Linked DNA regions of Ovis aries. The protein of the gene in region 5 purifies or fractionates together with the protein of the main gene of each other region. This does not show direct contact. Links are inferred from orthologs where the notes say so. Each region holds a gene or a part of one and is shown on either strand. Other genes may lie near its edges. The genes, in order: NAPA, RINT1, USE1, NBAS and BNIP1.

What was found.
Region 1: the proteins of BNIP1 (region 5) and NAPA purify together in Homo sapiens (affinity purification with mass spectrometry; 3 studies listed by BioGRID and IntAct, with this or other methods). This does not show direct contact. The link is inferred for Ovis aries from reciprocal best matches to the Homo sapiens genes BNIP1 and NAPA.
Region 2: the proteins of BNIP1 (region 5) and RINT1 purify together in Homo sapiens (co-immunoprecipitation; 3 studies listed by BioGRID and IntAct, counting the BioPlex papers as one, with this or other methods). This does not show direct contact. The link is inferred for Ovis aries from reciprocal best matches to the Homo sapiens genes BNIP1 and RINT1.
Region 3: the proteins of BNIP1 (region 5) and USE1 purify together in Homo sapiens (co-immunoprecipitation; 4 studies listed by BioGRID and IntAct, counting the BioPlex papers as one, with this or other methods). This does not show direct contact. The link is inferred for Ovis aries from reciprocal best matches to the Homo sapiens genes BNIP1 and USE1.
Region 4: the proteins of BNIP1 (region 5) and NBAS purify together in Homo sapiens (co-immunoprecipitation; 3 studies listed by BioGRID and IntAct, with this or other methods). This does not show direct contact. The link is inferred for Ovis aries from reciprocal best matches to the Homo sapiens genes BNIP1 and NBAS.

The regions. Positions count from the first base shown.
Region 1 is NC_056067.1:54,244,068-54,249,122, forward strand, and holds the start of NAPA (alpha-soluble NSF attachment protein), read right to left. Parts: upstream 3,207-5,055; 5' UTR 3,060-3,206; coding exon 2,962-3,059; intron 1-2,961. UniProt on the Homo sapiens protein: Required for vesicular transport between the endoplasmic reticulum and the Golgi apparatus. Together with GNA12 promotes CDH5 localization to plasma membrane.
Region 2 is NC_056057.1:48,165,175-48,169,429, forward strand, and holds part of RINT1 (RAD50-interacting protein 1), read left to right. Parts: intron 1-801; coding exon 802-975; intron 976-1,073; coding exon 1,074-1,223; intron 1,224-1,769; coding exon 1,770-1,926; intron 1,927-3,741; coding exon 3,742-3,852; intron 3,853-3,948; coding exon 3,949-4,174; intron 4,175-4,255. UniProt on the Homo sapiens protein: Involved in regulation of membrane traffic between the Golgi and the endoplasmic reticulum (ER); the function is proposed to depend on its association in the NRZ complex which is believed to play a role in SNARE assembly at the ER.
Region 3 is NC_056058.1:5,651,495-5,656,180, forward strand, and holds USE1 (vesicle transport protein USE1), read right to left. Parts: upstream 3,268-4,686; 5' UTR 3,258-3,267; coding exon 3,117-3,257; intron 2,805-3,116; coding exon 2,755-2,804; intron 2,619-2,754; coding exon 2,540-2,618; intron 2,454-2,539; coding exon 2,301-2,453; intron 1,786-2,300; coding exon 1,773-1,785; intron 1,364-1,772; coding exon 1,336-1,363; intron 914-1,335; coding exon 739-913; intron 496-738; coding exon 313-495; 3' UTR 294-312; downstream 1-293.
Region 4 is NC_056056.1:23,954,941-23,959,731, forward strand, and holds the start of NBAS (NBAS subunit of NRZ tethering complex), read right to left. Parts: upstream 3,194-4,791; 5' UTR 3,158-3,193; coding exon 3,041-3,157; intron 959-3,040; coding exon 904-958; intron 1-903. UniProt on the Homo sapiens protein: Involved in Golgi-to-endoplasmic reticulum (ER) retrograde transport; the function is proposed to depend on its association in the NRZ complex which is believed to play a role in SNARE assembly at the ER. Required for normal embryonic development.
Region 5 is NC_056069.1:5,009,504-5,013,758, forward strand, and holds part of BNIP1 (vesicle transport protein SEC20), read left to right. Parts: intron 1-772; coding exon 773-864; intron 865-1,685; coding exon 1,686-1,787; intron 1,788-3,419; coding exon 3,420-3,538; intron 3,539-4,255. UniProt on the Homo sapiens protein: As part of a SNARE complex may be involved in endoplasmic reticulum membranes fusion and be required for the maintenance of endoplasmic reticulum organization. Also plays a role in apoptosis.

The DNA.
Region 1 (5,055 bases), on a different chromosome or scaffold from region 5:
TCTTCAGCACTGGCCCTCCAGTGAACTGAATTCTTGTGTCCCCTGCCAAAACTTGTGTGTGGAAATCCTAAGCTCCAGGGTGATGATATGAGGAGGTGGGTGGGGCCTTTGGGAGGTGACTAGGTCATGAGGGTGGGGCCCTCGTGACTGGGATTAGTGCCCTTACAAAAGACAGCAGGACACAGTGAAACAACAGCCGTCTGGGAGGCAGCAGGCCCTCGCCAGGAACCAGACCTGTCAGCACCACAACCTTGAACTTCTTGCATCCAAAAATGTGAGAAATATGTTTCTGATGGTTATAAGGTACTGAGCTGATGGTATTTTGTTACAGCAGTCTGAACAGCCTAAAAAGGCCACGAAAATCCTCAGTGCTCTCCAGCACCTCCACAAATCCAAGCCTTTTCTCAAAAAGCCCTCTGGGATGGGGCCTGGTTCTTTAGTCTCATCCCCTTCTGCCTGTTCTACCTTTACGGGCTGACGCAGAACCCCCTGCAGTAAACCTTCAGACGCTGGCCTTCACACATCTGGGCCTTGCTCAAGCTGCCTCCTCTGTTGGGAGCTGTGCTCTCCCACCAGAGAGCACCCCCGGAACTCCTGCTCATCCTCCCAGGTGGAGGCTTCTCCCCACAGGGAGCCAGCCCTGGTCTCTCTGGATCTCAGTTCCCCATCATTTCTGGACAAACCTCCCCTCACCCTAGACCTCTGTTCAGACAATTCCCATTGCCTGGAACACCCTCTCCAGTCCCCACTCCTGTGGCATGTCCCAGGGTTCCCAGGGGCCCAGCTCATTCCTCACCAAGGAGTTCCTTAAGCTCATGCAGCTTCCTCTCAGGTCAGGAACCTCCCACCAATGATAAAATGCAGCCCTTAATCACATGTGACAATTCTGCTTTACTAGTGTGTTAGCAAGTCTTCATCTTGCCTTCCCAGCCAGGTGACAAAGTGTTTCAGGCCCTGACTTGGCTGCTCCTTCCAAGCATGGCCCAACAGTACACTAATCCCCAGGGACCAGACACCAAAAGCCACCCAGTAAAACCATGACCTGACTGAAAACTAAGCTCTTGGCCCCACCACAAAGCACTGCACTTGAGTTTCTCCCCTTGTGAAGGAAGCAGAAACACAGACACGCTCTCCCTACTCTCAGCCTCTGAAAGAAAACATTCCTCACCTAATCAATACAGTCCATCAGCCCCGGATGTTTTTCCACACTAGCGAGGTCTCAGCCAGGTTACTCAAGTTCTTGCGGTGGATAAGTAAACATTATCCACCACTTGTAACAATGAGCGGTTCCCATCTCCTCTCCGGGGAAGAACCCTCCTCCTCATTTCTTACCAACCTCCTAACACCGTCTCTCCTAAAGCCCCAGTCTTCCCCCGCAAACCCCGTCCCCAGCCTTGGCCTCTCTGCTGCCAGGTTCCATGGCCCCTCCTCACAGTTCCTCCTAACTCTCTACACACCCGCCTGTTCCCCTGCAGCTCTCCTCCCAGTTTCAAGAGCAACACAACGTTCCTCAGTCCTCCCTGGCTCTCTCTCCACCGGAGGTCTCAAGCCCCTTCCCCTAACCCTATCAAGTCCCCATGGCCCGAATTCCTTCCCCAACCCCTTTCAACTCCTTACTCATCACATCGCCTCTCCCTGCTCTGACAGCCCCCCTCCCACTTCTCCCATCAAACCCCCACCTTGATCCCCATCAGTCCCGCCCATCAAACCCCCACCTTGATCCCCATCAGTCCCGAACAGGCTCCATACCTGTTTCTTTCCCGGAAATGACACTGATGGTAGCTAACACTTTCAGAGTGATAACCACGTCCCAGGCTCAATTCTACACCCTTTACGCGTGCCCTACTTCAATACTAGTGGCAAATGCCTGAGACAGGTTTCTCTGAGACACCACTTCCCCATAATAAGGGAAGTTAAACAGCTTGCCCAAGGTCAAGAAATGGCAGAGCCTAGGCTTCTGACCTGAGCTTTTGATCCTCCTCAGCCACTAAAATTCCTCAAACGACAGTCATCAGAACAACTCTTATGAGCCAACATGAACTCATGTGAAATGTCTGCCACAAGCATTAGGTGTTGATTCTGTTTCCCAGCCCCCTTCAGCCCTAACCTGGGCATGCCAGTCTCATTCTGCTCACACTGCATGCCCCATCTTTACTCAAAGATCACACAGCAGGCCTCCGGCCCCTTAGGTTTTCTTATCTCCCTCATCTTTCATTTTTATCCCACCAGTTCCTAAACCAAGCTTCACTCCCACTTAGTTTCCAGCCTCCCAGCCCTCTTCGGCCTTCACTCCATCACCCCAGAGCTTCCTCTGTTCAGATCTCACTTGGCAGTCAGGTCTCTTTACACTAGTCACCTGTGACCTGGGCCATATTCACCTGAGACACTTCACGCAATTCAGACTGGGTCCATCAATCGTAGGATCATCTTAGCCCTGACGCCCGGGCCAGAGTTCACGTAAGTCCATCACCCCAGGTCTCGGAAAAGGGACGCCCTCAGGCATAAGTCCTCAGTCTCAGGGCCCAAGACTCCCGTCTGGGATCTTTCAAACAGGCTCTCCTTGAGCTCCAAAAGGCTTCCTAGCCTGGCTTCCCTCCAGGCTCCCTCGGTCCCCGCAGGCCACATTCCCTTCAAGGCCTGAGGCCGTATTCCCCTGGCCCTTTGGCCCGTCTCCAGCCTGGGGCCCCTTCCTGCCTCCAGATGGTTTCGCCTCGGCCCGGGTGTCCTCAGCCCACGGCCCTGCCACAGTCTCGGACAGTCTTTCCTCGAATCACGCTGTCAGTGCCACAGTCCGGCGTCCCGGCCATGGCTTGTACCCTCTGCTGCCTCAGACCATGCCCGTAAGCCCGCAAACCCCCGCGTCCTCTAGGCTCGAGCCCTTCGCCTCTACCGCCGCCCCAGAGCATGACTCCTCCGTCCTCTCAGCCGAGGTCCCGGCCGACCCCTGCGCGCGGTTCTTACCCAAAGAGGCCCGAGAAGAAAGACTGCGAGTTCTTCACTTTGCGCTCCGCCTCGGCCAGCAGCGCCATCGCCTCCGCCTCCTTCCCGGAGTTGTCCATAGCGGCCGCAAAAGTACTCAGCAAACCGCCGGAGCCCTGCCCTCGGAGAACTCAGATACGACCGGGTCGCAGGAGACAGGTCGGGGGAGCTTAGTGGGCTGCGTTGACGTCGCACCGGCGCGCGCCTCCTGCGGCCAGGAACCACGTGATTCGAGCTGGCCAACCAACGGCCTCGTAGCGCGGCGTGCGCACCGCAGACCACGCCCTCTCCAGCCGAGGCACGCCGCCCCGTGATTCACGGCCTCCAATCAGCGATCCAATTTTTAACGCATGCGCATGTATCTGTCTTAGGGTGCCTGGTGCGCTGGTTGATAACCCACGTGATTCCGCACAAGCCAATCGTAGCCCTCAGCGCCAAGGACCCGCCTCCTGGGCTTGTTCCTGCTCCACCAATCAACTTCAGCCTTTGGCTCCGTCTGACTTCCCTGCGGAATTTAGACCCTAGTCAGCTGATCCCTAATCGTCACGTGATAGCTCCATGCCGGAAGACTGGGTTTGACAGCTCTTTTGCGCAGAGCTTAGTCCCCGCCTCCTCTCATTACCTCCTGAAGGTCTCTTTCACTTGGAAAGGCGTCCGTGGGTAAGAAGGAAAGCGGTCTCCGTTTTGTTGCGCCCTCTGTCGACCTATGCTGAAATTGGTTTGGGAAGACCAGAGAAGGCTGCATATCTCATTTTATTGTGCTTTGCTTTCTTGCCCTTCCAAGATACACTTTAAAAAAAAACAAATTGAAGGTTTGTGGCAATCCTGCATTAAGCAGTTCTCTCAGAGCTGTGCGGTTTCCCAAACAGCATTGGCTCATTTAGTGTCTCAATGCCACGTTTAATAATTCTCACAATATTTTAAAGTTTTTTGTTACTCTTGTTAGGATGACCTGTGATTGGTGACCTTTGATGTTATTATTAAGACTGGCTCAGATAATGATTAGCATTTTTTTGCAATAAAATATTTTTAAATTATACATTTCTAAAATAATGCTGCTGCACCCTTAATAGACTGAAGTAGTCTTTCCTGGTGAGTTACTTGGACAGAGGAGCCTGCCCGGCTAAAGTTCATGGGGGTCTCAAAGAGTCGGATGCAACTGAGCGACTGACACACATACACACATAGTGTAAACATAACTTACATGCACTGGGAAACAAAGGGAAAGTCATGTGTCTGGCTTTATTTATGAACTGAACCTGCAATGTCTTAGAGGTATGCAGAGGGGAGCAGAGGTTGTCTAACGCTGGTTTCATTTAAAAAAAAAAAAAGCTAGTGAAACTGTTAAAAATTTAGGTTCAATTATATCTAGCGCCCAGATCTTAGTTTTTAATACTCTTTGTTCTCCAACAAAAGGAACGAGAGCTCCTTGGATAAAAGGCTGGTTCTAGGACACTGCACAGGATGAGCCTGGAAGGTCTTGTAGTTCCAGAAGGTAAGTCTCCTGGCCTCCATCTCTTTGTTTCTCTGCCTCCACCCTCCCACACACACCCCCACACCCCCACACACACCATGAATCTCCTTCTCCCTCCCTCCCTCTCTCTTTCTCTCTCTCTCTCTCTCACACACACACACACACACACACACACACACACACACACGATGAGGTATATCAAAGAGACAAGAGCCAACCGAAAGAGCTCCCAATGTCAAAGATGGAACAATCTGAGCAACAAGCAGCCCTGGATTATAACCCAGTCTATAAAATCTCCATGAGCTCAGAGTTCCCAATAGTCAAAGCTGCAACAATTTGAACAACAAAGTAGCACCTGATTATAACCCAGTCTATAAAATCTCCATGAGCTCATGCTGATATAAATGACTGAAAAATAAATGGTGGAGAATAAACAAATATTCTGTGCATAATTCCAAATAATTTATGTGGATATTCCATTCTCAAGATGGAACATGACTCCACTCCTTCATGTAGACTGTGCACAGACTTTCATCTGCAGAGGACGGTGTTGGGGGCGGAGGCGCTACATTTACAGTGTAGAAGCCTGACAAACGTTGTCA
Region 2 (4,255 bases), on a different chromosome or scaffold from region 5:
TTTTCAAATGTTCTTTGAGCCAGTGTGTAAAATGGTAGTCATATGCTGAATTAGTCCTGAAGACATGTTGTATTTGGCTTGTATTAAAGAATTTGATTAGTAGTTTGATTTTGCATGGAAATCTTGATTTCTCCTAAAAATGTTTAAGATTTGGCCACATTAGATCTACATTCCAGTGTGACAACCCTAGGCTAGAGCCTTAGGGTGGGGTATGTGCTTTTTACTTGGCTCGCCTTTGCTTTTCTTAATTTACTTTGCCTGTCGGGCCTTTCTAGGCATTTGACTTTGCTATCCTCGCTATAGAGCTTGCCTTAAATTTTATGTGCAGCTTGGCAGTAACTTGAAAGGACTTGATTCTGAGGTGCCACCTCCCTAAGTTCCCTATAGTCAGGTTCAGCTGGGCAAAGTAGATACAGATTGAAGACTAGCATTATTGACTTACCAGATGCCACCCCCATTCTCCCCTTGGATTAAGATTCTGTAAAAGACAGATTTCTTAGAAATGAGGGGTGCCTGATGGAATGTGACAGAGGAAAAGTCTGTCCTATTGGGAGAGCTGGGCAGGCAAAGGTGGAGGCAGATGTCCTGAACACAGCCCACTGCTCTTAGGAGGATGCTGAGGATTCCAGGCTCCTAAAGACTGGGGTGTCAAGTTAAAAAAAAAAAAACAACACTTTAGGTTAGTGCTTCCTTCTTCTTTTGGTTGTAGCTTTATGTAAAGCAGGAGGAAGAAGCAGTTTTCCACATTTGGAATTACTCTGAACAAAGTGTCTTTCAACTTTGCTCCTCCTTATCTTTCAGTGATAACATTCAGCAATATCTGATGACCAATAATGTCCCAGAGGCAGCCTCTACTCTGGTGTCCATGGCAGAACTTGACATCAAGCTTCAGGAATCTTCCTGTACTCATCTTCTGGGTTTCATGAGAGCCACAGTTAAATTCTGGCATAAAATTCTCAAGGACAAGCTTACAAGGCAAGGAATTTGTCCATGTTTCATGGTAATTGCTTTCAGATGGCTCTTTGATGTTCATTGTGTTTGATAGCAATACTTCTCTCACTTTTCTGTTACAGTGATTTTGAGGAAATTTTAGCACAGCTTCACTGGCCATTCATCACACCCCCTCAGTCTCAAACTGTTGGCATCAGTCGACCAGCCAGTGCCCCTGAGATATACAGTAACCTGGAGACACTCTTCTGTCAGCTTCTGAAACTACAAACCTCGTATCTTTTGAGGGGTTAAAACTTACTAAAATTTCTTTTTTCTAGAGTGGATTTGGACCAGAAAGGAAAGCTTTCTGAAAGTGGCCAAGAAGCAAAATGGGAGGAGTACTAGGTTTGGACTTACCTGTGTATGGTTATGTAGTGGGCGGGAGTGGTGCTGTTCTCCTTCCAAATAAACTGCGTGTGGGTGGAAGGGCTGTGAGGAGTTCTGAACTACATGATTGACCCAAGTTTGCATCACATATAGGTCTCTTGGGACAATCAAAAAACTGGGCAAAATTGGAAGGAAGCCTTAGTAACTTAGTGTTAATTTAATAAAATGATTATTCAAATGTGTTTCCTTACTTATTATCCTTTATCTTAGGAAAGATTAATTCTAATAACATTTCTCATGGACTTTTTACTTAAGTCATATGTAATTTAAAGTGAGATTACATATTATCTGTATAATTTCTCAGTATCATATATATCTGCTAGATAAATGTTCTGTGTGTATACATATCTATACATATATGCTTTTCTTTTTCCTTGACTTTACTATGTCAGAGATGAATTATTTACTGAGCCAAAACAGCTTCCAGAAAAATACTCTCTTCCCACGTCCCCTTCTGTCATCCTGCCCATCCAGATTATGCTGACTCCCCTTCAGAAGAGGTTCAGGTATCACTTCAGAGGGAACCGGCAGACTAACGTTATAAGCAAGGTGTGCTTTGCCGCTTCTTGCCCCGGTTTTAATTAATAGCAAATACTAAGGATGTCCCTACTTTTGCTGGCTTAAGTTAAATTCTGATTCTATCCGCATTCCTGTTTTTTCTCTAAAGAGCTAAATTCCAGTTTGGTCACTGCCCTTTACAGATATAACTTGGGACTTGTGTTGATATGTCGTTAAGAATCAGTGCGCTCATTAACACACCGTCTGACCACTTCCTCAGGTTTCTTCTGGGGTGTGCTGTAGCGTTTGCTGTGGCACTTTTTTACAACTGGATCCCCATGTGTTCCACTGTGCAAACTGCTCCTTCAGGTTTATGAATACATCAGAAAGAGAAGTGAGAGTCAAAAGGGAGCAGAGCATTAGCTTTTGAATGGAAGTGCTAATGTGCTCAGTGATTTGTAGTGGGACTTCCCTGGTGGTCCACGGTTAGGACTCTGTGCTTCCACCATAGGGGGCGTGGGTTTGATCTTTGGTCAGGGAACAAAGATCCCATGTGCCATGCAGCACGGCCAAAAAATAAAAATAAATAAGAATAAGAATTAAAAAAAATATAAAATGATTTGTAGCTATACAAGAGAGAGTATGGGGATAAGTAACAGGAATGACTTTGAGGAAATTATCACCAGCATTTTAGTTGAGGGACCACACCCAAGTGTATTGGACATCCTGTTGAGACTTTTTCTTTAATCTGCTCTGAAAATCACAGACAACTGTTTTCAGTGAAGTTTGATTGAATGTGTTGAGAATTATAACCTTGGGAGTTGCTAGGGGGTGGATACTGTGTATCCTTGAAGTCTTCCTACATGTGATGCAGTGCAAGTAGCAGAGGAGTCCTACAGAAAGTGTTTTGAATTAAATGATTTAAAATGCCTGATTACTTGGCAGACATTGTACGTCACATATAAATGAGTTTACAGGCTTTATAGAATTGTAAAGGAATCAAGGGATAGGCAGTTATATCTATGTAGGGAAGAGTGGGATAACAATGAATTTCTGGTTCTCAAATTCAGCTTGTTCTTTTGTACTTCTTGGGTCTCCCTCTCTTGGATGGGGTGTTGGTGGAAAGAAGAGTAGAACCAGTTAGTAAGTGGTAAGTGACACAAAAGAAGTCTAAACTGTAGAGAGGCAGTAATGATTTGAGAAAATTGTTAGTTCTGTTGGTTGCTTTTTAAATTGTAGTTCCAGTGGTCTAGTACTCTGACAGGAAGCCTGAACTATGCAGGCCCCGAGATTAACTGCCCCTTTTTCATTTCTGTATTCCCAGCATCTAGCACACAGCAGGGTTTTACCTTTCAGAAAATGTTTTAGAGTTCCTGTCCAACAAAACATAGAAGGTTTATAGAATCACCTCTAGTGACAATTTAAAAAAACTGCACAGTTACATTACTTTTCTGTAATTACAGCTGCTTTAAGTCTTTATATTTTTTGTAACGCCGACCAGCCAAATTTTTCTTAATTTAGCTTTTGAAAAAAAGAAAAAACAGAAGAAAGTCATGTTTAAAAATTATTTTGGAAAGTTATTTCCAAAAAATTATATAAAGGCCATCATTCTTTGTGATACTTATCTTTTACATATTTCTAAAGTGCTAGGTTTTAAATATTTATGGTAATTTAAATTCATTAGTTGACTTAAGCCACATTATTGAAATTTATTGGGAGTACATTGGGAAACATTTGATTATTAAGCCTTCTGTGAATGTAAAGTTCAGAGTCAAAACTGTGCTCTTATGTATACAAACATTTAACTAACTGTAACTTTCTAGTTGGAATGAGTTAAGAATTCAAACTGTTCATCTTCTTCCTTAGCCTGAATGGTACTTGGCTCAGGTTCTTCTGTGGATCGGGAACCACACTCAGTTTCTGGATGAGAAGATTCAGCCAATATTGGACAAAGTGGGCTCTTTGGTAAACGCAAGGGTAAGAGATTCAGTCCAAAGCATTTCAGTTTCAGAGTTGCAGGTGTCCATGAATAAGCTGTCATTTTCATTTCCTTATGCTTCTATGTTTTTTTAGCTTGAATTTTCTCGGGGACTTATGATGCTGATTCTTGAGAAGTTAGCTGCTGATATTCCTTGTCTGCTCTATGACGACAGTCTCTTCTGTCATTTGGTGGACGAGGTGCTTTTGTTTGAAAGAGAACTACACAGCGTTCATGGCTATCCTAGCACTTTTGCTAATTGTATGCATATTCTATCAGAGGAGACCTGTTTTCAGAGATGGTTGACTGTGGAGAGAAAATGTAAGTGCTCATATGCCTGTAGGCTGGGGAGAGGTATCTCTTATTGTGAATACAAAATTTTAGGTGTTATTCTTCTCCATT
Region 3 (4,686 bases), on a different chromosome or scaffold from region 5:
ACCTTGACTCCACAGGAATGTGTTTGGCTCTGACTCCATCAGATTGGGAGTTCTGGGGCCTCTATGGGCCCTGCCTTGTCCAGTGTGAAGTAGGTACCTGGGGGGTGGGGAGTGGGGGGCAGAAATGGGAGGCAGGCTTGTTGACTCACCTCCCCCAGCTGCCTGCCCTCCTTCCTCTCCTGGTCATGTACTCTCTGTAGCTCTCATGGGGCTCCAAGGGCCTTCCCATCACGCTGCCAACCCCAAAAGGTATCACCCCTGGACAGGGTGGAGGGCAGAGAGGGCACAGGTGACACAGGCCAGGCCAAGTCTTTATTTGAGTTTGGGCATGATGCGGATGAAGAGGATCATGCTGATGAAGATGAAGCAGACGACGATGAGCATGGCCCAGAGCAGCCAGTTGACTGACTTCTGTGTGTGCTGCTCCAGCCGCTCGGATTCCGTCTTCAGCTTTTCCAGGTTCTGGTCGGCCATCTTGAGGGAGTGTGACAGCGTCTGTGGGTGAGGCAGGGCGAGTGTCAACAGGACTGCGTCCAAGTGTCACCGCTTCCTACTGCACTGGGGCGAATCTGTATCTCTTGGCCCTTCCTAGTGCTGTTTTCTCCTCTGGGAATGCCATTTTTTACTTCTGCCAAACTCCTATTCATCCAGCTCAGTCCCAGCCATAGGGACCTTCTTCTGGGAAGCCTTCTTTGATGCCCCAAACCAGAGGCTCTAGGGTTCCCAGAGTCCTCATACCTGGTTGTCCTTCTTGATGACACTCTGGGCAGCCAGTGTGTTGGTCTTGAGGCTCCGGGCCAGGCCGAGCATCTCCTCTGCCAGCTTCTCCTGGAGGTTCTGGTGTCGCTGCAGGACGAGGTCTAGCTCAGCTGCTGACTGCTTCTCATCCCTTGGTGTGGGCCCTGACGCCCCACTGACCCCACAGATGGGTAGACCAGTGGGTATGAGATTGGGGTGGGGGAAAGAGGGAAGAGACCAACATGTTTTCAAGGGACCTAGAGGTTATAGTTCCAGCTACTGTGCTGCTTGGGGCTGTTTCTCCTTTTTCACTTTGGCTTCTGGGAAAAGCATCCTCAGAAGTGGCTGTTCGTTAGTGTTTTTTTTTTTTTTTAATTTTATTATTATTATTGGCTTTACTGCTCAGCTTGTAGGGTCTTTTTCTCCAACCAGGGATTGAATTAGGCCCTTGGCAATGAAAGCACACAGTCCTAAGTACTGGACCACTGGGGAATCCCCTGATTGGTGGTTTAAATGCTCATCGTTGTGCTTTAGTGGTCCAACCTTTGTCCAACTCCCCTCTCCCTGCAATGCTCCCCAAGGGCTGAAGATACTCACGTTCTCTTCCTCACATCCATTTCGGGCTCTGAAAGCAAAACAAGCCAAGCAGGCAAAAAGGAAGAACTGGTTTGCTGTTTTCCAGCTTCCTGACCATTGCCCAGGATGTGTCTGCTACTCACAATGCCATTTCCCCTTCTGTCTGTTGCACAGCAGGTGCAGGAAGTCTTCCTCATCGGGCACCCCCACCCCGGCCCCGGGTCCTCTCTCTAGCCAGCCGTAGTCACTTGGGCTGGGAGTGTCCAACTCTGTTTCCTCTAGGGCCCCTTCCTGACACCCTTCTAGCCTTCCACCTTCAAGTGTGGAAAGGCCCCTGGGCACAGTTTCCCTGGGCTGCAAACACCCTATGGGAGCCAGGTTAGGCACGAGGGATGTGGGGCACTAAGGATATGTATCTGTCCCAGGCCTTGAGTCCTGTTCTGCTTATGCTGTCTCACCTTCACTAGAGTCCTGTGGGAAAAAAAGAGAGGCACAGAATCACCAACCATGCCATGCCCCCAGACCTGTCCTTTCTCTTTCAGAAACTCCCCACCCTCAATCAGGACCCTGGACAAGTCCTGTAACCTCTGAGGCTCAGTTTCCTCATCTATAAACTGAAAACAAGGGTTCATATTTTGAAGGGTATTTTTCAGATCCACAGGAAGTGCTCATAGAGGTACCTGTCACCCTATTTCACAGCTGAAAAAAACTCACTGGTGTGTGGTGAGGCGGGGCCAAACCTTGCTTCGGGCCAACTCTGGGGCTTTTAAGTGTAGATGTGCCATTTTTGCCTTGTATGGAAACTCTTATTCATCTAGTAAAGCCCTGGCCACGATGCCCGTCTGTTGGGAAGCCTTGTCTGATGGTCCAGGTCCTGTCTGTTGGGTATCCTAATCCCTGCACCGGACAGTGTTGTTCTGGCCACCTCCACGCACAAATTCCTATCCCCACCTGAAGTTTTCCAGGGACGAGGGAGGGAGCCCTACCGTGCCTAGCAGCTCACTCCGCATCTCACTGGTGTACCGAGCCCGTGACTGCAGGTGTACTGTCTTCGTAGCGGGGACCCTTTCCCTGGCTGTAGTGGGCACTCGGCCAGGGGCCAGGAACTGGTTGGCTAGTGCCTTCTCTGAGGAGGAGGTCTGCAGAAGCGGGAAGGCAGCAGTCACCAAAGTGGCAGGCCCCAGGTGAGCATGAAGGTTGACCAGGCAGAGGGGCCCCTGCTTACCAGTTTCTCTGCCTGCAGCATTCCCTTCAGAAAATCTACCTTCCGAGAATATTCATTGAGCACCTCCGAAGCCGGTTTGCTGGAAGGGGAGAAGAGGAAAAGGAAAGCCTACTGTGCCCAGTTGAGGGGAGGTTCTTAGCGGGAACTGGAGACCAGGGTTCTTGGTCTCCAGTAGGAGACTCAATTTTGAACCACTTGTGGCCGCCTGCACTCACCTCGCCTGTGCTTTCAGGGCCTGCAGCATGTCCTCGAGAGCTCCCACGTACTGGGGACAAAAAGTGGGGTGTCAGCCCAGTCCTCCCCCTATCCCTACATCCTGCTCAGAGAGATCAGAGCCAGCAAGGGGCGAGGCCAGGATGGGGGCGGGATTGAAACAGGAGGAGCCAAGCATCAGGAGGAGGGACCAGTTGAGCCTCAGGGAGAAGGCGGGAGAGCAGCAGGTGGACGTGGCCGGAACCAACCGGAAGGGGCGTGGCCACGCTGGCTGGCGGGGCGGGGGAGTCGGGCCCGGTGGCCTCTAGCTGCGGGGGCCACTCTCCTGGATTCGGGGTTTACGAGGAAACACGGAATTCCCTACCTTTTCTAGACGCCACTCGTCCGGGTCCCGTTTCTCCGCTGCCATCGCCTCGCAGCGGCACAGTAGCCGCACCAGGTTCAGCTCCAGCCTCGACGCTGCCATCACCACCCAGTGGTACTCCGCCCCTTCCGCCGGCGCCATCTTAAGAGATGGCGGAAGTGCCTTCCGTGGCCTCCTTCCGGTCGGAAGTGCCCTGTTTGCTGTCCCATTCTTGTTCTTGTTTAGGGTGGCGGAAGTAATGTCTTGTTTCAATGCGGGACACCATCCCGTCTGCATTTACTCCGGGATGAATCGCTTGCTTATTCTTGCGAGTGTCTTGACCCTTCCGGAAAGGTTGAAAGGATCAAGTCCTTCGGTGCCAGAAGACCCACATGCAAAGCGTGAAGTGCTCATTACTACCCCCCTCAAAATTCCTACCCCTCTCTCCGCTCCTTCCAGAGTTTTCCGCTCTGAGCCCTTCTGCATCCAGGGAGTCTTCTCTGAATTCACGAGGAGAGGCCCTGACCTGGGACTTCGGAATCCAAGACTTAGGGGCTATTATTTCCGGTTCCAGCCCTGACCCTGACTCCACCTCCCGTCGTAGCCTTTTGCGAGTTTCTTAACTTTTTCTGGACCTGTTTCCGCTATTGGGAAACGGTTAGTCTGGCAGTGACATGAGCTAAACCTGGGAGCGTGAGGTGTGGCTGGGTCACCCTCAACGCCCAGACCCCCGTGGACAGAACCCCACGCGCGTCCTCAAGAAGTTAAGGCCCCTTGTTCGAGTCTCCCTCTGTGGGCCCTCCGAGTGAGGATGGGGACATCACAGGGGATGAAGCCTGGCATACATCCCTCAACTATCTCATCCTTCAGGTTACGTGTTCAGATCACATCAGTGGTCTTGGTCCCCTGTAAGTACTGTGGATGAGTCTAAACTCAAACTCAGGTTGTTGATGGGGTGGTGGGCCGGAGGGCGGTGCCGGGGAGCGGTTCTAGAGCCAGACAGGGCTTCCCAAGTGGCTCAGTGATAAAGAATCCACCTGTCAGTGCAGGAGACACAGGAGACGGGAGTTCGACCCCCGGGTCAGGAAGATCCCCTGGGGAAGGAAATAGCAACCCACTCCAGTATGCTTGCCTGGGAAATTCCATGGACAGAGGAGCCTGGTGGGCTACAGTCCATGGGGTGGCAAAGAGTCGGACACGACTGAGCACACATCCACACATGCATGAGCCAGACAGGGCAGGGTCTGAATCCCCGGCCGCCCCATCCCAGCTGTGTGGCCTTGGCCTAGACCACCAACTCTTCAGCATGCGTCCCTTAAACTCAGGTTTGTCATGGTCTCCTAACTCCCCCACACCTACAAACCCTATCTGCCAACCAGTTACAACTGCCGATCTGGTTGCAACCTGGGAGCTTCTCTGTTGGTGGCGATGGTGGTGGTGCTGTTGCTTCAGGCTCCAGTGGGTCCCCCAGGACCGACTCCCCCTCCCCCAAGGCAGATGGCCCCTTCAGCTGACATTTAAGCCCCAGCTGGGGAGGGGCTAGCTGTGACAGGAGGCAGCTCCCAGGACAGAAAGTTCTCCTCACTTCATG
Region 4 (4,791 bases), on a different chromosome or scaffold from region 5:
ATAAAATTATTATTATATTTTCAATCATACTGATGAACCTATGTGCAGGGCAGCAATAAAGACACAGAGAATAGAACTGTAGACACAGGGGGTAAGGAGAGGATGGGATGAATGGAGAGAGTAGCATGGAAACACATTCCCTGCCATATGCAAAACAGCCAGTAGGAATTTGCTGTATGGCTCAGGGAGCTCAAACTGGTGCTCTGTGACAACCTAGAGGGGTAGAATGGGGTGACAGGTGGGAGGGAAGTTCAAGAGGCAGGGGACATATGTATACCTATGGCTGATTCCTGTTGATGTATGGCAGACACCAACACAATACCATAATGCAATAATCCTTTAATTAAAAATAAACTGTAAAAAAATGTGTCTGTATAAACATATGAATACATCCATGTGTATGTATGTATATATACACACATGCTTACATAGACGTATATAGTTAAGACACATGCATTTTTTTATAAAATAGGTAACATTTATGCTATTAATACTCATTTTAATCAGGCAAATTAATAGTAATTTGTTTAGCAACTGAGTTTACATTAAAACTCAAAAGGACACATTTTCAAATCCCTAAACTTCTTAAAAGCACAGTTACAGAATAGGAAAAAATAAGGAAAAAATTATCTGCTAACTATATCATAAATAAATAAGCTATGGTGGTGGTTTAGTCACTAAGTCGTGTCCAACTCTTGTGACCCCACGGAATGTAACCCGCCAGGCTCCTCTGTCCATGAGATTTCCCAGGCAAGATCACTGGAGTGGGTTGCCATTTCCTTCTCCAGGGGATCTTTCCAACCCAGGAATAGAACCTGGATTTCCAGCATTGCAGACTCCTAGGCCACAGGCAGACTCTTTACCAACCAAGCTATAAGGGAAGCCAAAATAAGCTATACTCACCTCTAATTGCTTTTGTGATGATAAAGGATGCACCATGTTTCCGGTTGCCTCTAGGCTGCAAATGAAAAAATAATTTGAGAATTTTCCACTGATACTTATATAGTAAGCTATATTTCTTTGCTAATACACAGTACTGGGCACAAGTTACCAGTATCTTTAAAACTACTTATAGATAGAAACAAAACAAGGAGAAGCAGCATAGGAAAGTGAGCATGGCAGAGATACAGGCATTTGCCAGGATGAATTCTGCAAGACAGGACAGGGATTGAGGTTGGAAAATGTTTCTAAATCAAAGCACCAGTGCAAACACAAAAAAAGTCAAGGTCTAAGACCCACACTGGTTGCCAGTTGGCACAGTCTATTTTGGAGGCCTACAGAGGCCTAAAAGGGGTTTTGCTTGTAGAAAAAGCGATCATATGGATCAATAAACTCATGCCCCAAAGCAAATTTATTGAACATTAGCTGCATATTCATAGAGAAACTACTACAAACAGCCACACTGATACATAACTGCTATATAAATAGTTCCTTAAGTACAGAACAAACATAGGTTAAACAATACTAGGCACTATAACCTGGAAGATGTCCTAATGGTCACAAAGTGCAGGCAGATATGGCTTAAAAGCACAAAAAAAGTTATTTCATTCAACAAACATGAATCCATCATTTACTTTGCAGAAGACAAAATTTGGTTTGGGGAAGGAATATAAACATGAGTCAAATGTAGCTGACTTTCAAGAGCTTGTAGTTCAGTTAAAATCAATAGAACCAAACAAAAAAAGTGTTATGAGGTTTCAATGTAAGTTGATGCAGTACATATTTCTTTAGCCAATTTATAATGTGAAGCATTTCTATAACATTATGTAATTAACCAGTGAGTGCTAAGGTGTGGAAAGGTATCCTATTCAATCAGTGGCAGCAGCAACTTTCCAGCTACGTAAGATACAAAATATCAATTGTTCGACACAAACAGAAACTATGTAAATACTTTTTTTAAATTATGCATGAGGATCTCTGCTAGCCTACAAAATATTCCAAAAGACAGAAACTGCAATGGGAAGGAGGTTAAAGAAAAGCTTATAAACTTTACAGGAGAAGCAGTACTTTCTCCACTAAAGAAACTCAGCAGCCAAAAAAGAAGAAAGAAAGAAAAACTCAGAAAAGAGATTGTAAATAAGAATTCGTATGGGCTGGAGCCCATGATCCTCAACGAAACTCCTTTCCCACCTTGCTGCATATTCTGATCTTAAAACAGCAACTGGCACACGTTAGGCACTCAGTAAATACGTTTAATAAATGCGGGTTTCTGCTTCTTATCTCCACCCTGTGCCTGAGAGGTCCTTTCTATTGACCTACTGTCCTTTCTATTGAAACTACTGACTCCAAGGTCTAGATTACCAACACCTAGGACCCCACTTCTAACAAAGAACCCAACCCCGGGTCCTCATAAATTTTCACTCCTCAGGGCATTTTGCTCACATCACTATTACAGTGCATATTACAGCAGGTGATGAAAAAGTTTACTACACTGTCTTCCCTCTAAGACCGCAAGTACCACCAAACTTATTCACTTCGGAAGCACAGCGCCTCACAGTATCTGGAACACGGACAGATATACACATACACTCATTAATTACTTAAATAACCCAGGAACTGACACAACTCGGGTCCAGATAGGAACAAAGGTTTATGCCGCGCTCCATGACAGCCCAGCAGATGCTGAGATGACTGCAGGGTCCTGGAAAATACTCCCACAGCAGGTGAGGAGCAGCCCTGCCGGAGCCGGTCCGGTAAAGGGACTACCGAGGGTCTAGGTGAGGGAAGGACCCCCGAGTCCAACGCTGTGCCTCCCCTCCAAGTAGGGACGGTGAAACAGAACCGGGGTAGTAAAGTACTTGCCTCAGAGCCCGAGGTTTCGCCCCCCGCCCCACCCCGAGAGCCGAATTAGGAGTCCAGGAAGCATGCCAGAAACTCCACCTGGGGGACCCGGGCCCCCGTTAGCTCGCGGTGCCGTTGCCAAGACGACCGCACAAGCGGTGGAGCCCGGCTCCATCACCCTACGTGGCTCCGGCTACGTGTCTCTGCCGGGGCAGCGCCGGCACCCAGCTGGCGGCAGCCCCGGCGGGGCCTGGTTCACCTGTACTTCCGTCTCCGGGGGCCACTCGGTGTTGACCAACAAGTCATAGAGTATCGTCTCCTCCTCGCCCTCCGCAGCGCCTGGATTCACGGTCGGCAATGGCTCAGAGGACGCCATATTTGCCCCCACCAAGTGCTGGGGCCGGGCCACTACGGCAAGCCGCGGCGGACAAGCTTCCGCGGCCACGCCGCCTCTGATTCCCCGGGAAAGGGGTGGAGTTAACCCGGGGTGGAAAGGAAATGCTGAGTTGAAACCCTTCTTTGAGTAGGTGGAACAACCTCTCGCTTGTCTTGCGGTACAACTTACATTCTGGTCTTGGTACGCTCCCTCTTTATTAATTGCATGAGATCAGCCACATCCCAACCTCTCTTACCCCGTCAGCTTCTATAAAACGAAAGTGATAGAACTATCTTCTGAGATCCTTTCCAAGGCAAACCATTCATCATCACAGGAATCCAAGTCTATGCCCCAACCTCTAACGTGGAAAAAGCTTAAGTTGAAAGGTTTTATGAAGTGAAGTGAAGTCGCTCAGTCGTGTCCGACTCTTTGCGACCCCATGGACTGTAGCCTACCAGGCTCCTCTATCCATGGGATTTTCCAGGCAATAGTCCTAGAGTGGATTGCCATTTAGTTCTCCAGGGGATCTTCCCAACCCAGGGATCGAACCCGGGTCTCCCGCATTGTAGACAGACGCTTTACCGTCTGAGCCATTCTATGAAGACCTACAAAGACCTTCGAGGACTAACACCCTGTGTTCTGCCATTTATGTATGCGTTGCCTAACTGATACAAAGAGGGCAAACTGGTTTTTTTTTGTTGTTTTTTGTTTTTTTTTAATAAACACAGGAAAGCTATCCTGTGCAACAGATTAAACGAATGAGAGGTATCACCGGAATTCCCTGTTGGTCCAATGGTTAAGACTCAGGCTTTCACTGCTGTGGGTTCCCAGGGTTCAATCCTTGGTGGCGGAACTAGGTTCCCGCAAGCTGTACAGTGTGGCCAAAAGTTTTGAGAAAGGTATCAGAGAATGAGGCTATCGGAGTTCAGAAAAAGCCAGAGGGTCTAGAGGGGCTTTCTGGAGGAAATGAAGTCTTTAACAGATAAAGCTGGAATCAAGAGCAGAGGGTTTGGGGAGCATTTCAAGTAGGGGGAAATGGGATAAGGACAGAGGCAGAAATATCTAGTTGAAAGAGCAAGCAGCTGAGTAGAAACCAAGCCAAGAAAGGGCGTAGGGGCAAAAAAGTTGAAATAATAGGTTGAGGACCCACTTGCAGGTCTAGGCTTATTTGTTCATTCATTTAGTCATTCCTTCGTGCAACAAGTGCCTCTCTGAGAAAAGCCCTGCACTGTGAGCAGAGACGCACAACCTGTATAAGTATACGGTGTCCAGGTGTCTCGCTGTATCTCATTGTTCGCTGAGCCCAGAGTGTGCAGAGCACGAGCCAGGAAGCTGGGAAAAGACGCAAAGAGCCATAGTGAAGGAGGAAATAGAACAGCCTCTGTCTTGAAAGCAAGACTCCATCTTGGGCTGGACTGTGGACTTCGAGCTATATGCCCAGTATCTATGGAAACGACATACCAACTGGAAAACCAGGTCCCTGGAAGGAAGAGCCCCAGGGCTCGTACTTAGACTCTCTGTCACCTAAAAGAATACCCTAATTATCTGTGTAACCGAATAGAATCATACATTCTATTATGCTTATTGCGGTATGACCTCAGGCCTACTGATCAGTGTCCACTGTTAATTACCCA
Region 5 (4,255 bases):
CCACAGGTCTGGGAGCACTTTTTATGTTTGTTTCTCCTTGTGGAGGTTCTTGAACCACTCAGGAAGGATGAACTTGGACCCTCGATCCATGTGAGGGGAGTGCCATGGTTATAATCGGGAGAGACATTTATATCCCTCTAGCCACGTCTCACAACAGAAAACTCCACAACTTCTCTGTGCTGGTTGACAGACGTTTTCCTAGCTCACCTTTTCACTGAGGGTATTTGTATCCCTTTGTGCTCCTGGCTTTGCAGTGGTCTCAGTTCCAGTTCCCAGCTTCAGGTGGCCAAAGCTTTGTTTTCTGTCCCCACATGGACTTGAAAGCCGTGTTTGCCATTCAGTCTGAAATATGTACCAAGACTGAGAGCCTGTAGAAACAAATAGCAGTGTGTTATTTCCATCATATCTCAGAGTGGGATCAGTAGGCTCCTATGTTACTGTAGTTTTTTCCCTTTTCCTTTCAGGCACGTCCTGGACCGCAGGAACGCAGGAACGCATCCCCTGCTCCAGGGCAGCCTCACACCCCTCACAGGAAGGCTGCTCTGACTCATAGTTTCTTTCTCATTTTGAGTTCTTGAGGATGGTCCTTTCTTTCTTTTTAGACAGCTTTCTATGTAAAAGGATGTTTGTTGTGTATGAACCAGCATTCCTGAGTCTTCTGTTCTAGGAGGGTTTTCAAGTGCTGTTGCATAACTGGTAGAAATAGAAGTGCTTTCCAGTTTTTCATTACCTTTCAAAATCATTTTAACTTAGAGCTGATTTCCTCCCAAAGGAGCTTGAGCAGTCGGCTAAAGAGCAAGACAAAGAGTCAGAGAAGCAAGTTCTGCTCCAAGAAGTGGAGAATCACAAAAAGCAGATGCTCAGGTGGGTGGGGCCTGGCCTCCGGCCAGTGGCCTCCGCTGGGCCCCCTGCTCCCGGTGAGGCTTGTGCCTGAGTTTGCCTAATAAACCTGCTGAAGCTAGGGGGTAAGCCGGGGCTCTTTGGTAGCTGGGACTGTGTATAGTGTACAAAAGCATATTTAACATTATGCTGTATTTTATATTTTTTTAAAAGCAAAAAATTCGTTGCTTTTGTAATATAGGGTCCTTTTTAATCTAAAGAGAATTGATAGCAGAAAAAGTCCACCAAAGGTGCCAAAATGATTGGGGACCACTGGTGTAAAGAACAGCAAACCTTGAAGAAATATTGAATAAAACTGTCTTATACTGATTTTTCTACTTCTTACTGCCTATATTGATGGAGCAGCTAATGGGTCAATAACTGTTGTCCTGGGTACTGGTGAAACAAAGATGAACAAGGCATAGTTCTCCAGGAGCAGAACCAAGCCACGCCGCGGGCAGAACAGTAATGTGTAGGAGATGACTTTGAACGGGGCCGCGTGCGCCCAGCTGGGCAGTTTGGCTGTTTCCCTTTAGTGGAGCCATTGCAGGCTGTAAGCACAGGGACGCTGTGACCGGTCTTCTCCCTCTGGCTGCCCTGGGGGAGAGGGACTGTTGTGGGTGGTAGGAGAATGGAAACAGTTTCTGGGGCAGCCAAGAAGAGGACATGGTGGGAAGGGTGACGGACTCTGGGCTACACACAGGTAGCCTCCCCATCACTCCCTGGCTGGAAGGCTACTGTGACTTGAACTGACTGACAGCCTGTCGGCATCAAGAGAAACTCACACATGGCTTTTGTAATTCCAGCAATCAGACCTCATGGAGGAAGGCTAACCTCACTTGCAAAATTGCTATCGACAACCTAGAGAAAGCAGAACTTCTCCAGGGAGGAGACCTATTCCGGCAAAGGTATGTATCTTCTTGTCTTTCTGGGTTTTGATGACAGAATAGACAGCAGTTGGCAAGGTGCAAAACCTACTGTGGGGAACCCTCTCTTGTTTTCAGCATAAAATTGATATTTTATAAGTAATTTTTTTAACTATAAAAGAAATACATTCTTGTTTTTAGTAAATTGGTAAAATTAAAATGTGAATCACAAAGTGAAAGTATGAATTGTGCTGTTCACAACTATTTTGATATATTGCCTCCTTTCATTATTTTTTCTTCCATATTTTTTATAAAATCAGCATGGTACCATATATTATCTCGTCCCATCACTTCATGGCAAATAGATGGGGAAACAATGGAAACTGTGACAGACTTTATTTTCTTGGGCTCCAAAATCATTGCAGATGGTGACTGCAGCCATGAAGTTAAAAGACGCTTGGAAAAAAACCTGTGACCAACCTAGACAGCATATTAAAAAGCAGAGACATTACTTTGTCAAAAGGTGTATATAGTCAAAGCTATGGTTTTTCCAGTGGTCATGTTTGGATGTCAGAGTTGGGCCATAAAGAAGGCTGAGCACCGAAGAATTGATGCTTTTGAACTGTGATGTTGGAGAACTCTTGAGAGTCCCTTGGACTGAAAGGAGATCAGCCAATCAATCCTAAAGGAAATCAGTCCTGAATGTTCATTGGAAGGACTGATGTTGAAGCTGAAGCTCCGGTACTTTGGACCTGATGCAAAGAACTGACTCATTGGAAAAGACCCTGATGCTGGCAAAGATTGAGGGCAGGAGGAGAAAGGGATGACAGAGAAAGAGATGATTGGATGGCATCACCGACTCAATGGACATGAGTTTGAGTAAGCTCTGGGAGCTGGTGATGGACAGGGAGGCCTGGCGTGCTGCAGTCCATGGGGTCGCAAAGAGTCGGACACGACGGAGCGACTGAACTGAACTGAGCTTTAAACATAGTCTCCTAGTCTTCACTTAGTATTATTATCTTCACAAAGATTTGCCTGTTTTTTTAAAAAGCTCTTTATAACTAATCCCCTGCTTGTGTGTGTTTATATTTCTCATTATGTCTGTATTATGAGTAACACACGAGGGCACATGTACGTAAAGCGTTGTCCACATTCTGTGTATTTCCTTTGGAGAGATTCCCAGGGATGAGATTATTGGGTCAAAGGCGTGAGCATTGCTAAGGCCCCTAACACACATCGCCAGCTGGCTCTCAGAAGGAGCACCAGTGGGCATCCCTACCGGCAGTCTTCACGTGCGTGCGCTCGCATGCCCTTGCCACCACTGCGGTGTGCTGAGCCGCTCAGTCATGTCAGGCTCTTTGTGACCCCATGGACTATGGCCCGCCAGGCTCCTCTGTCCATGGACTCTCCCAGGCAAGAATACTAGAGTGGGTTGCCATTCCTCCTTGAGGGGACCTTCTCAATCCAGGGATCAAACCCACGTCTCCCGAGTCTCCTCGCTGCAGGTGGGTTCTTCACCCCTGAGCCGTCAGGGGGAGTCCTTTGCCACCGTTAAGTATGACCATTTAAAAAACGTGCTGATTCGATAGATTAGAAGGTGGGATCTTGCTTGAATCCGGGGCTTTCTTGAGCCAGGCTTTTGTTGACATTCCTCCTCCTACTCTGTACTTCTAGGAAAACTGCCAAAGAGAGCCTGGCCCAGACGTCCAGCGCCATCACAGAGAGCCTCATGGGGATCAGCAGGATGATGTCCCAGCAGGTCCAGCAGAGCGAGGAAGCCATGCAGACGCTGGGTAAAGTCAGGCCAGGCCTGCAGTGGGAGGCTGCCGCTGGGCTCCAGGCCCTCACCCCTGGGCTCCTCCACCTCTGCCCACATCTGCCCCGCCTTCACTGATCTGTGTGGCTTCTCACTCCTGTGACAGCGTGGTCTTACCCAGTTGGGATGCACTGCTCTCATTTCCCTTTTTGGTTTTTATAGTTGTACTGAAGGATCCACACACCCCATCAAAATGTTTGGAAGAACTCCTAGGCTCTCTCCTGGAGAGTGGGTGCCAACAGTCCTGGAGGAGGGCCTTGAGAGTCTATTTTTTATCTCCGGCTCTGGGGACCCTTCTGGCCAGGCAGGGAGATGATCGGTTATTGGCTGCCAGCTGGTCTACTAGGACATCCACTTACAATTGTACTCCCCAATGTTATTTTTCCTGTGAGCTCCTTTTATTTATATATTTGTATATATATTTTTTACTTTTGGCTGCGCTGTGTAGCATGTGGGATCCTAGTTTCCCTACTGGGGATCGAACTCATGCCCTTTGCAGTGGAAGCGTGGAGTCTTACCTGCTGGACAACCAGGGAAGGCCTGTGAGCTCCTTTTGAAAGATACGGTCAGAGGCTGAGCTTCTTGAGACCATCTGGTTCTCCCCAGCAGCTTTCCCAGCATCCTCCCTATAGGAGAACAGAGGCAGAGGGTTTACTCTGAGACACCTTTGGAGGAGTCGCACAGAGCCGAAAGT